Linked DNA regions of Canis lupus familiaris. The protein of the gene in region 2 interacts with the protein of the main gene of each other region in a pairwise test. Links are inferred from orthologs where the notes say so. Each region holds a gene or a part of one and is shown on either strand. Other genes may lie near its edges. The genes, in order: DBP, DDIT3 and CEBPA.

Evidence for each region.
Region 1: the proteins of DDIT3 (region 2) and DBP interact in binary tests that used the Homo sapiens proteins (3 or more experiments, as listed by UniProt). The link is inferred for Canis lupus familiaris from reciprocal best matches to the Homo sapiens genes DDIT3 and DBP.
Region 3: the proteins of DDIT3 (region 2) and CEBPA interact in binary tests that used the Homo sapiens proteins (3 or more experiments, as listed by UniProt). The link is inferred for Canis lupus familiaris from reciprocal best matches to the Homo sapiens genes DDIT3 and CEBPA.

What each region holds. Positions count from the first base shown.
Region 1 is NC_049222.1:108,347,667-108,351,405, forward strand, and holds the start of DBP (D site-binding protein), read left to right. Parts: upstream 1-1,052; 5' UTR 1,053-1,769; coding exon 1,770-1,908; intron 1,909-2,771; coding exon 2,772-3,182; intron 3,183-3,739. Other genes in the region: CA11 (carbonic anhydrase-related protein 11), read left to right, coding at 623-648. UniProt on the Homo sapiens protein: This transcriptional activator recognizes and binds to the sequence 5'-RTTAYGTAAY-3' found in the promoter of genes such as albumin, CYP2A4 and CYP2A5. It is not essential for circadian rhythm generation, but modulates important clock output genes.
Region 2 is NC_049231.1:1,964,008-1,967,746, reverse strand, and holds the start of DDIT3 (DNA damage-inducible transcript 3 protein), read left to right. Parts: upstream 1-1,454; 5' UTR 1,455-1,556; intron 1,557-2,235; exon of another isoform or gene 2,236-2,318; intron 2,319-2,414; exon of another isoform or gene 2,415-2,564; intron 2,565-3,739. UniProt on the Homo sapiens protein: Multifunctional transcription factor in endoplasmic reticulum (ER) stress response. Plays an essential role in the response to a wide variety of cell stresses and induces cell cycle arrest and apoptosis in response to ER stress.
Region 3 is NC_049222.1:119,691,168-119,694,906, reverse strand, and holds the start of CEBPA (CCAAT/enhancer-binding protein alpha), read right to left. Parts: upstream 2,299-3,739; 5' UTR 2,214-2,298; coding exon 1,385-2,213; intron 1,346-1,384; coding exon 1,044-1,345; 3' UTR 1-1,043. UniProt on the Homo sapiens protein: Transcription factor that coordinates proliferation arrest and the differentiation of myeloid progenitors, adipocytes, hepatocytes, and cells of the lung and the placenta.

The DNA.
Region 1 (3,739 bases), on a different chromosome or scaffold from region 2:
CAACATGGTACGGTCCACCTCCCCGCCACAGACCGTAGCTGGTCCGTGATTTGTCCCTCTTCACCGCTTGCAACTTGCAACTTGGTATATAACCCGAGATCCCTGGCTCCTCCCGCCCCACGGGCCGTGCTTTCCATTACTAGGGTTTTCCAAAGTGGTACAGCCCGGATCCTTTCCCGGTTTCCATGTGGTACGATCTCAAGCTGTTCCATAACCCGACACACACCCCCTTCCTGAAAATCAACGTGGTACAACCCCCTTCCCTCTCCACTGCCTAGCCTGTGCGGTTCGACCCTGCGATCTCTGGGCCACCACTCTAGCTTCTCTGCGGGGTTTAGCCCTGACCCCTACCCCCACCCCCATGAGTACCTTCCTGCAGTTCCGTGTGATGCTGAAGCTGGACGTCCCCATTCAACCCTCCTGCTGCCTCCTGTTGGTTAAACCCAGCGCGGGTCCAGAACCTGACCCGTTTCCCCCAACTTCTCGACTTGGTACCTTCCGGCTTCCCCCTCCGCAGCCTCCCCGTGGTAGAGCCCACCGCGGCCCAGCCCCCGCCTCCCTGCAAACCCCCTGCAGGGAGCCCTAAACTAACGATCCGCTACCGGTGTCGTCTGTCTTACAGTGGATGGTGCCCCCCATGGTCGCTGAGACTCCCCGTCGAGGATTGCGCCCGTCCTCTCCAAGTCTCCCCACACGGGGAGGGGAGTTACCCCCAAAACAAAGCTATTAAAGGGACAGAATACTTCCTGTTTCTTAGTGGTCTGATTCTAGGCGCGGCGGGGAAACATGGGTACTGAAGAACAGCAGCCTGCTTCTAGAAACCAGTCTCCCTCTTCCTAAACCGCCCCGCTCGGTGTTTCGGCTTCCTGTTTCCCAAAACCGACATTTCGGTTGGCGGCTCCTTTAAGCGGCGCCTCTTTTCACTCCCCCAACTCCCCTCCCCGCCCGGCAGCACGCGCGGAGCCATGTGCTTCCCCCTCCCGCCTGCCTCATTGGCCCGAACTGGGTCAGGGTCCCGCCCCCAGTGCAGTCTCCCATTGGGCAAATGTAGGTCAGGGTCCCGCCTCTCACCTAAAGGCACGGCCACTTCACGCCCTGAGCCCCTCACGCGCCCTCCCGAGCCCTGGAGGATCCGGGGGTCCCATTGGCCGTGCGTCTCGAAGGGTCAGGACGCGATTGGCCCGCGCTTTCAGCCGGAGGGAGGCACGCGGCTGGGGTGCTTAGCCCAAGAGGCTGGCAGGGGCCGAGGGGAGGGGTGCGCGCTGTGGCGTCGGGTGTTTTGGTTTGGCTTTTTTTTTTTTTTTTTTTTTTCCGCGAAAGAAGTTTGCGTTGGCCACGCCTCAAGGCGGCCGCCTCCTCTTGCCCCCTCCCCCGCCCTCCGCGCACACCTCTTGGTGCAGATTGCAAAGCGCCTTCCGCTGAGAGAGCTGCAGATTTTGCAAGAGCCAGGCTCGCCCACCTTGTAGAAGGAGCGCCTGGTGTCCCCTTGAACTCTGAGTAGCAAAGAGCCGGCTGCCTGGTTTTGATCAAGCCTCTCACTCGGACTGCATGATCTCCTGGGACCCTCTTGAGTTGCACGTTTCTGCACCGAGGACTGCAAATCCCCGTCACCCCTAGGATTTGCAGTGTTCTGGATACTGGAGGCTTGCAAGCTCCGCTCGCCCGCCCCTGGGTAGGCACTCGCCCGAACCACAGGAGTGTGCCGCTGACTGGCAAGCCAGCTCTTCGCCTCTCCATGAGCCCGTGAGCCTGCGGGCAGGTGCCCGGTGATGGCGCGGCCGGTGAGCGACAGGGCCCCGGCTTCCCTGCTGCTGGGCGGCCCAGCCGGGGCCCCCCCTGGCGGGGGAGCGCTGCTTGGGCTGCGGAGCCTTCTGCAGGGGACCAGCAAACCCAAAGAGCCAGCCAGCTGTGAGTTCTAGCCCCCATCTATCCCAACCCGGACACCCTACTCCCATAGGGATTCAAGTGTTGAGGGGGGTGGGGGACTGGTGGCTCCCTCCTACGAGCGGAGAGTCCATCCTTTACCCGTCATCTACCCGATTACAAAGGTGTTCAGGCCCCTAAGTCCCTCAGCACCCAGGATCCAAAAGTACAGGCGCTCAAGCCCGTCCACCAGGAAGACCCAAGGAGTCCCCCCAAAGTCCTCTTTTCCGAGGACACAAGAGTCTGGGCTCCAGCCCCCGCTTCCTCTGGATTCTGAGAGTCTGGACCCCTGGGGTCCAGGGAGGAGGGAGGGGGTGTGTCGGATGCTCACACGGTAGTGACACGGGCTTGGGCGGGGCCTCCTGGGGTCACATGGAGTCTAGGGATGAGGAATGTGCCCCAGGAATAGAGCCCCTTCCTGCCCCTTACATAGTGTGGGGGTGGGGAGAAGAGATTCCTGTGAGCAAGGGGGTTAGACTACAGAGAAGTCTCACCTGCCCAACCCTCCACCTACCTCTGTCTGAACTTCCGTCCCCCTTCTGTGTCTCTATCCCTTCCCTGGTCTGTGTCCTCTCCTTGTCTGGGTCTCTATCCTCCACTCTTTCTGAGTCTCGGTACCCGTCTCTCTCTCTGTGGCGCCCCTTTCTGTGCTTTCTCTCTGGGTCTCTTTTCCTCTCTTGAGTCTCTGTCTCTTCTTTTGGGGTCCTTGCCTTCCCACTCTTATCTCTGCCTCTCCCCCGCCTGTCCGTCTTGCTCTGGATCTCCGTCGTGTGGGTCTCTATCTCCCCTTTCTTCGCGTCTCTCTGTCTCGGGGGTCTCTTCTCCATCTCTTCCTTCCCACCCCGCAGGTCTCCTGAAGGAAAAGGAGCGCAAGGCGGCTCCGCCAACAGCCACGGTCCCCGGGCCAGGCCTGGAGACGGCGGGCCCGGCGGATGCCCCAGCTGGGGCGGCGGTGGGCGGCGGGTCCCCGCGGGGGCGCCCGGGGGCCCCGCCAGGCCCGGGTCTGTTGGCGCCGCTGCTGTGGGAGCGGACGCTGCCGTTCGGCGACGTGGAGTACGTGGACCTGGACGCGTTCTTGCTGGAGCACGGGCTCCCGCCCAGCCCGCCGCCGCCCGGGGGCCCATCACCGGCGCCCTCGCCCGTGCGCACGCCCGCACCCTCCCCGGGGCCCGGTTCCTGCGGCTCAGCTTCCCCTCGTTCCTCCCCGGGGCACGCCCCCACCCGGGCTGCCCTCGGGGCCGCGGGCGGCCACCGCGCAGGTGCGACGGCGGGGGCGGGGCAGGGCCCTGGTGGGGCGGGGCTTGGGCTTTAGGGGCGGGGCTGTACAGCACTTGGGGCCGGGAGCGTGGGGCTGGGGTTGTGCGCCCAAGTTCTGGGGCTTCTAGGCGCAAGAGATGCTGGGAGAGGAGTCTGGATTCTCTGCTTCCTAATGCGTCAGGGACTGGGTCTCCTGGATCCATTGGAGATGGGGGCCTTGGGATCCCAAATTACAGGAAGTCTGCCCAGTGGGGCGGTAGTGTGGACTTTTCTGTGGAACGTGGAGACAGAGGGTGGGGACACTCGATTACTGGGGAGTGAACTGCGCTCCAGATTCTGGGCCTGGAATCTGTGGACTGGGGAAGAACTGTAACCCCTAGGCCCTCTACAGGGAAGAAAGCAAGGTCTGGGCACAGACTTATTTCACTGGGATCTAAGAGACTGGCAGCCCTAGTTGCTGGGTCCTCCAGTGGAGAAGAGCTAGGACCCGGGGTCGCGGAGTCCTCTAGATGGAATCTAGAAGGTTGGGGATCTTCAAACTGGGTCTTCCGTTGGGGCA
Region 2 (3,739 bases):
GGGGAGGAGGGGAAGGCGCACGAAGTAGGAAGGAACTTGGGGAGAGGGCGGGCGGAGGGTGGGCGAAGCACTGAGGGAGGGAGGTGAAGAAGGCAAAAGTCAAGCAGTGCGAGGGAGAGACGGCGGGGGCAGGTGAGGGCGGGGGGGCGGGGATGGGGCCGGGAAAGGGGCCGAGGACGCGGGGGGCAGAGGGTAGGGACAGCAGGGGAGGGGAGGGGGAGGGGCGGGGGGGCCGGGCCCTGCACTCACCGCGGCCCATGGCTCGGCCGGCCCCGCCCTGCGCAGTCGCGGCCCAGAGGGTGAGTGGGAGGGAGTGGGAGGAGGGTCGGCGGAGCCCGAGCCTCCGGTACGGCCCCGGCCGGTCCTAGCAGGAAGCGCCGCCGCCGCCGCCGCGGATCACCGAGCGGCCTCCCGCGCATGCGCCATGGGGGCCAGGGGCAGCCCTGGGGATTCCGTTCCCAGAAGGCACCGCGCAGGCTGCCGCCGCCGCCGCCGCCGTCGCTGCCGCCGCCGCCGCCGCAGCCGCCGCCGCCGCCGCCGCCGCCGCTGCCCGGACGGGAGAGGGGCGGGGCCGGGCCCCCGCCCAGCGGACAACGACGAGCCAACAGGAGGGGCCGCAGTGCGCATGCGGGAGCGCGCCTACCCCTCCCCCACAACCCCCCATTAATCCCCAAGAGAACAAACACCCCACGCGGCCCCCCCGCCCTCCGCGGAAGGATCTGAGCCTCTTCCCAGGCCACCGGCGGCCAATCCCAGCCCTCCCCGGGGAGGGGCCCCTTCCAAAGCCACAGTCTGTCGGGGGAGCCAGGAATGCCGGGTCCGGGAGGGGCCGGCCCCAAAAGATGAAAGTCGCGACTTGCCCTGCCCCGCCCCAAAGGCTTCCCGGGTAGTGTGCTGGGACTTGACCCGCCTCCCCAGGTCAACATGTCACAACAGGACCTCCGCCTGTCAAGTCACATGACCTCTGCCTGTCACTGACAACCTGGTCATGTCTTTGGGCCAGGAGAGACCATCTGGTCCAACCCACCCCCACCCCCATCTACTGAAGGGGAAATGGAGGTCTGGAGCAACGGAGCAGGCCCGGCCGAGGACCTGTCACCGTCACACCACCACCTAAACCTCCTTGCAGCCACAACCGGCCTTGTGACAGATTCTACTTAACTCTGGCTGCCCCCGTGAGGGTATGACAGTGAATACAACCGGCCGCCACATGGCATCTTTTTTCTCTCTAATGGCACAAGAAAAACGTTTGCATTTTAAGCGATGCTTTTCACTTTTGTTTAAGCTGCCTCCAAGTTCATAGTGCTCTCGTTTTACCTTCACAACTCGTCATCCTTTATTTACAAACAAGAACGGTTGTGGCACAGATATTAGGGGGCAAGTAAAGGGGCAGGTGAGGCCAGACTCTGGGCTCCTGACAACCCGGTGCAAGGCGGCTGCGCGCTCAAGTGCACCCAACGTCCCAGGCAACGAGGCTCTAAGGTCGCCCGAGCACCGAGGCGGCAGGCGGCGGGTGCACGGCTCCTCACGCAGGAGTCACAGGACCTGCGCGGCTGGTACAGCGAAAAGGGCGGGTCTTGATCCTTGGTGGAGGCACCAGAGTACGGGGGGGGGGGGGGGGGAGGCTGAGAATCGCGTCCACCGGGCCAAGTCCTGAATCCTGGCATGCTGAGCGCTCATCAGAAACTTCACAAAGATAAAAGTTAGGGGTGCTTTTCGGCGAGGAGCTGAAAATGACCATCAAAAGTACTCAAGTTCCTCGGCCCCTTCTGGGGGAATTAGGGAGCTAAACGGGATCTTTCTATGCGCCTACTCGAGGAGACGTTAGGCGGTCCTGTGGCTGCATGCAAACTTTCAAAAGAGATTGGCTTAGAAGACCTCGCGCCCACTAACTAGGAGGGGACCGAGCAAAATGGGAGCCCCCCATGCAGACGGCGAGGCGGGGGCTAACGCCAGGTGGGCGGAATAAGGGCGCCGAGGAGGACGAGCCGCAGCGCGGCTTCGCAGGCAGCCTGAGGGCGGCCACGGTTGGGAGCCGTTGGGGCCGTTGGGAGCCCGGCGCTGGCGCCCCGCCCTCTCCTCTCCCCCACCCCCCCGCACCGCCCACCACCCTCGTCGGCCCCTGCGCGTGCGCGCCGAGACACCGGTTGCCAAACATTGCATCATCCCCGCCCCCCTCTCCTCCCCTCCTCCCCTCCCCCCCAGCTCTCCCCTCCGCGCGCGCGCATGACTCACTCGCCTCCTCCGCGGAGCCTCGTGACCCAAAGCCACTTCCGGGTCCGACACCACCTCTACCCCCGGGCCGGCGGGAGCGAAGGGGGCGGCGCCGCGGGGGCTGCTGAGTGGCGGGCGCGGGGGGCGGGGCGGGGCCAGCGCCGGCGTGCCGCGCCCTGATTGGCAGGCTTGCGGGCCCGCCCCCGAGGGGAGGGCAGGGCCTCCTTAAAACATCCGCGCTCGGGCCTCCGAGGTCAGAGGCTTGAGTGTAAGGCACAGAGCGGATCATGTTGAAGATGAGCGGGTGGCAGCCACAGAGCCACAGTCAGAGCCGGAACCTGAGGAGAGAGGCGAGTACCGATCCCACCTGCTCTTTACCCTCTAGTCCTCGGGGATGCTGGTTGTCCCTTCGAAGTTGGGGCATCAGCTGCTCAGGATGCGGCCCCACCCGTTCCCCGACGAAGTTAGTGACAGTTCGAGGGAGGGACGGGGAGCATCCTTTATCCGGGAGTGGTGCTTACAGACCTCTCTTCCCTCGGACGGGAGCGGCGCCCCACCCTGCCCGGAGCGCGGGCCCGGCTCTGGGCCGTCGGGCTAAGGGGTCCGGATGCCCTCGGGAGACTCCCTGTCTTCCGCTGCTGCCCTAGGCCGCCTCCTTGGTCCTGTCCGGTGGGAGGCGGGGCGGCAGGACACTCCCCCACGCCGAGACGCCTGGATGGCTCTGGCTCACGCCCTTGCCGCCACTTTCCCACCAGCGGCCCTGCCCCTACCCCACCCCCAATCCTGTCTCAGCCCAGCGTCTCAGGGCCAGAGTGGCCACGTCGGTGGATGGAGCTCCTGGGTCCTGCACAGGACAGCCATTCCACACCCTAACGGAGAAGAGAACCTTAAGGAGACAGACTCCAGACTTTGGGAGGAGGAGGGATGCCAATGGCTAGGGAGCAGAGATGGGTTTTCCCATTCCCCCAGAGGTCCCGGGGGCCTCCTGCACAAGAGAGCATTCTGGATCCCTTAAGTGTGGGAAGCCATTTGGGGTCTCCCCAGTGTAGGGTCCTTCCGCAGGGATTTGTCCCTGCTGCTTTCCCCGCGTCCTGCCTCCCAGCTAATTTCTGTGTAACCGTTGCATCAGGCCAGCCCCCTGTTTGGCTCTGCAGCCCTCTGGCCTGGGGCCCCACTGCTGATGAAAGCGGCATCCCACACGCTGGAAGGCAAGGAGGGTCCCCCAGGGAGGACAGCCCTGAAGAGAAACACTCTGGGAGATATTGCATCTCCAGTCCCCAGGGCTGGGCAGCTGCTGCTCTGCCTCTGGGCTTCCTCCTCCCTTCCCTATGAGACACTGGGGAGAATTCTTTCATTCTTCACAAATTACTTATTACACACCTGCTATGTGCCACACATTTTAGGCCCAGGATGCATCTACGAACAAGGAAAAGACCTGTTCTCACAGAGCTTACATTTCGTGGGAAAAGGTGCACAGCGAACAAATATAGAAGTGCCAAGGAGAAAACCAAAGCATGGAAGGGTA
Region 3 (3,739 bases), on a different chromosome or scaffold from region 2:
GCAGACCCTCCCTGCAGCTGCTGACAAAGAGTCTCATTTTGGCAAGTATCTGAGCAAAACCAAAACAAAACAAAAACCAAATAAAATGGTGGTTTAGCATAGACGTGCACATTCACATTGCACAAGGCACCGCTGGGACACAGAGAGGCCAGATACAAGTGTTGATATCGGCTGATAAAGCAAAATATTTGGAAAGCTTCTCATAACTTCGGTCCCTCTGGGATGGACAGATTGTGCTTCATGTTTGTATGGCAATGCTGGCAACATACAGTACAAGGCTGATGGTCCCAGTGTCCCTTCACCCCACCTCCCCGCCCCACTCCCACCCCCACCCCGGGGCCAGATCTCTAGGTTTCCCTCTGCCACCAGGCTACCACTCCCACGAACACGTATCCAGATAGCTTTGGCCTGCCCTGGCCTGACCGGGGGTGGGGGTGGAGGGGCTCCCGCCGGTCACCCGGTGACCCCCATCTCAGTGAGTTCTGCCCAGGGAAGCCCAGCCCGTGACAGGCTGGGAGACTGGAGGGCAGGGAGCTAGGGACCCGCCACCTTCATGTAGAACTAGGGTAACGACCTTCCAAGTCCCTGTATGTCCTCCCTTCCGAGGACGGGCGCCGAGAGATCCTGACCCTTGGAGCAGCCGCGGGCCTGCACGCTGCCCTCTCTCCCCGGGGGTGGGGGTGGGGGTGGGGGGCCTGCACCTCGGGGTGCGGCAGGAACCCTCCGAATAAAATGACAAGGCACCTATCGGCTCCCCCTACTCGGTAGGAATCGGAGCGGCGAGTTTGCGTTTCCAAGGCACGAGGTTATCCTTAATACTAGAGTTGCCAGGCTCGGGCTCGGGCTCGGGCTCGGCTCGGCCCCACGGCGCTTCCCTCCTTCGGGGAGAAGGCCCGGCCTGACCCCCGTCCTGGGCGCACCGAATCGGCGGGCCGGGGCCTCCCAGGCCGGGCCTGCGCCGCGGGGGGCAGCCTGGAGATCCCGAGCCGAGCCCGACTCCACGAATCCACGCCCGGGGTCCCAGCGGGCGGCCGCCCCGCGCCTCACGGGCAGTTGCCCATGGCCTTGACCAGGGAGCTCTCGGGCAGCTGGCGGAAGATGCCCCGCAGCGTGTCCAGCTCGCGGCTCAGCTGTTCCACCCGCTTGCGCAGGCGGTCATTGTCACTGGTGAGCTCCAGCACCTTCTGCTGCGTCTCCACGTTGCGCTGCTTGGCCTTGTCCCGGCTCTTGCGCACGGCGATGTTGTTGCGCTCGCGCCGCACCCGGTACTCGTTGCTGTTCTTGTCCACCGACTTCTTGACTTTGCCCGCGCCGCCGCCTCCGCCTCCTCCGCCTCCGCCGCCTCCTCCGCCGCCTCCTCCGCCTCCGCCGCCGCCCGCCGCGCGGAGGTCGGGGTGCGCGGCGGCCAGCGCCTTGAGCGCGCCGCCGGGGCCCGGCAAGCCCGCGGGGCCGAGGGCGGGCGCCGGGTGAGGGCTGGGCACGGGCGTGGGCGGCGGCGTGGGGTGGCCGGGCTGCAGGTGCATGGTGGTCTGGCCGCAGTGCGCGATCTGGAACTGCAGGTGCGGGGCGGCCAGGTGCGCGGGCGGCGCGTGCGCGTGCGGGTGCGGGTGCGGGTGCGGGTGCGGCGGCGGCGGCGGCGGCGGCTGGTAGGGGAAGAGGCCGGCCAGCGCCAGCTGCTTCGCCTCGTCGTCCTCGCGCGGCTCCTGCTTGATCACCAGCGGCCGCAGCGCCGGCGCCCCGACGCGCTCGTACAGCGGCTCCAGCCTGCCGTCCAGGTAGCCGGCCGCCGCGCAGCCGTAGCCGGGAGCCGGGCCGTGCGCGCCGCCGGGCATCGCCGCGCCGCCGGGGCCCCCGGGGGCGCCCGCGTAGTCGAAGTCGCCGCCGCCGCCGCCGCCGCCGCCGCCGCCGCCGCCGCCGCCCGCGGGGGCCGCGGCCGCCTTGGCCTTCTCCTGCTGCCGGCTGTGCTGGAACAGGTCGGCCAGGAACTCGTCGTTGAAGGCGGCCGGGTCGATGTAGGCGCTGATGTCGATGGACGTCTCGTGTTCGCAGATGCCGCCCAGCGGCTCCGGGGCGGCAGGTGGGGCGGGGGCCTGCGCGGAGCCCGCGCCCCGGGGGAAGCCGAAGGCGGCGCTGCTGGGCGCGTGCGGGGGGCTCTGGAGGTGGCTGCTCATCGGGGGCCGCGGCTCCGCCTCGTAGAAGTCGGCCGACTCCATGGGGGAGCTACAGCCCTCCCGGCATGGCGCGCCTCGGCGGCCTCCAGCCCGCGCGGGGCGCCAACGCCGCCGCCGCCGCCGCCGCCCCCGAGCCCCGGGCCCCGCCGCCTCGCGCCCGCGCAGCTCCGGTCGCGAATGGCCAGGCCCGCGCGGGGCCCGCGTTTATACCGGGGGCGGCGCCCTGCGGAGCCCGACGGAGCGGCGGCGCCTCCTGGGTCCTAGCGCCGGGCCGCCGGCGGGGGAGGCGAGCGGGGCCGCAGCGCGGCGCGGGCGGGAGGGGCCCCGGCGCGGCGCCCCCTGCCCCGGCCCCGCCGGCCCGACCCGGACGCGCGCGCGCCCCGCCCTGGGCCGAGCCGTCGCCCCCGCACGCACGTGGCCGGGGACCGGGCCCCCTCCTCGGGCTGCCCCGGGGCTCCACTTCCAGCCGGCGGCCGGGGAGTCCGGGAGCGCCCAGGCGCGGCGCGCGGTGGGGGCGGGGGGGCCGGGGGGCCGGGGGCCGGGCTTGCGGCCTGAGCCACCGCCGCGGGACTCGCTCTCAGAGCTCCCAGTGGCCCCGCCGGGGCCCCGGTGTCGGCTGGGCGGCGGCGCGGGGAGGGGGCCGGAGCCGGCCGGGAGGCCGAGGGGAGCGCCCGGCGCGCGGCGGCTCCGCGTCCCCCTCCCTGACCTCGGGCCGCCCCGCCGAGGCCGCGCAGGAGCCGGTCCCCGCCCGCCGCGTCCTGCGGGGTCCCCGGGCTGGCGGCGCCGGGCGCTAGGACCGCGCGGGGCGCGGAGGCGAGGCAGGCGGCGGCCGCGGGGAGCGGGAGGACGCGGCCGGCGGGTCCGCGGGGCAGGACAACTTTTTCTTTTCCAGGACTTGCCCCGGCCCGAGGCGCGGGAGGCTGGGCGCGCGGGGCTGGCGCCGTGCCTGGAGCTGGAGCCCAGGGCCGGGGTTCCGCGGCCAGGCGGGGCGCGCAGACGGAGGACGCCGAGCTGAGCCGGGACGGGGACCCCGGGCTCGGGAGCCTCTGCCCCCGCGCCCCGCACCTCCGCCCCAGTTCCGGTGGGCTCCGGGGCGGGAGCCGGGGCTCGGGGACCTCGGGGACCTCGGGGACCTCGGGAGGGCCCTGCCCGCGGCTCGCAGGGCGCTGGGTCCCGGGATCCTGGGGAACGAGGTGGCCAGGCCGGGTCCCCTTGGCCGCCGCCTCCGCATTCGCTGCTGGAGCTGGGGGTTAAGGCAGCGCGTCTCCCCAGCCACGTGGCGCCTCGCGGCTCTATCCCGGGACCGCGGGCGGCGGCGGGGGGGCGGGGGCGCACCCCGGGGCCCGCAGGTCGCCGCTGCCTCTACCTCCCCCGCAGCGCCCCTTAAGACTTAGTGCGCCGAAGCCCGACACCGCCCGGGCGCCGGTTGGAGGTGTGCCCGTTTGGGGAGAGCCGGGCTGCGCAGGCCAGGACCTCCCCCCCCCCCCCCAAGGTGGCCTTCCAGAGCCTGGCAAGGCGCCAGAGCCCGCCCGGGAGCCCCGGAGGAGGCGCCCCGCAAAAGCACAGCC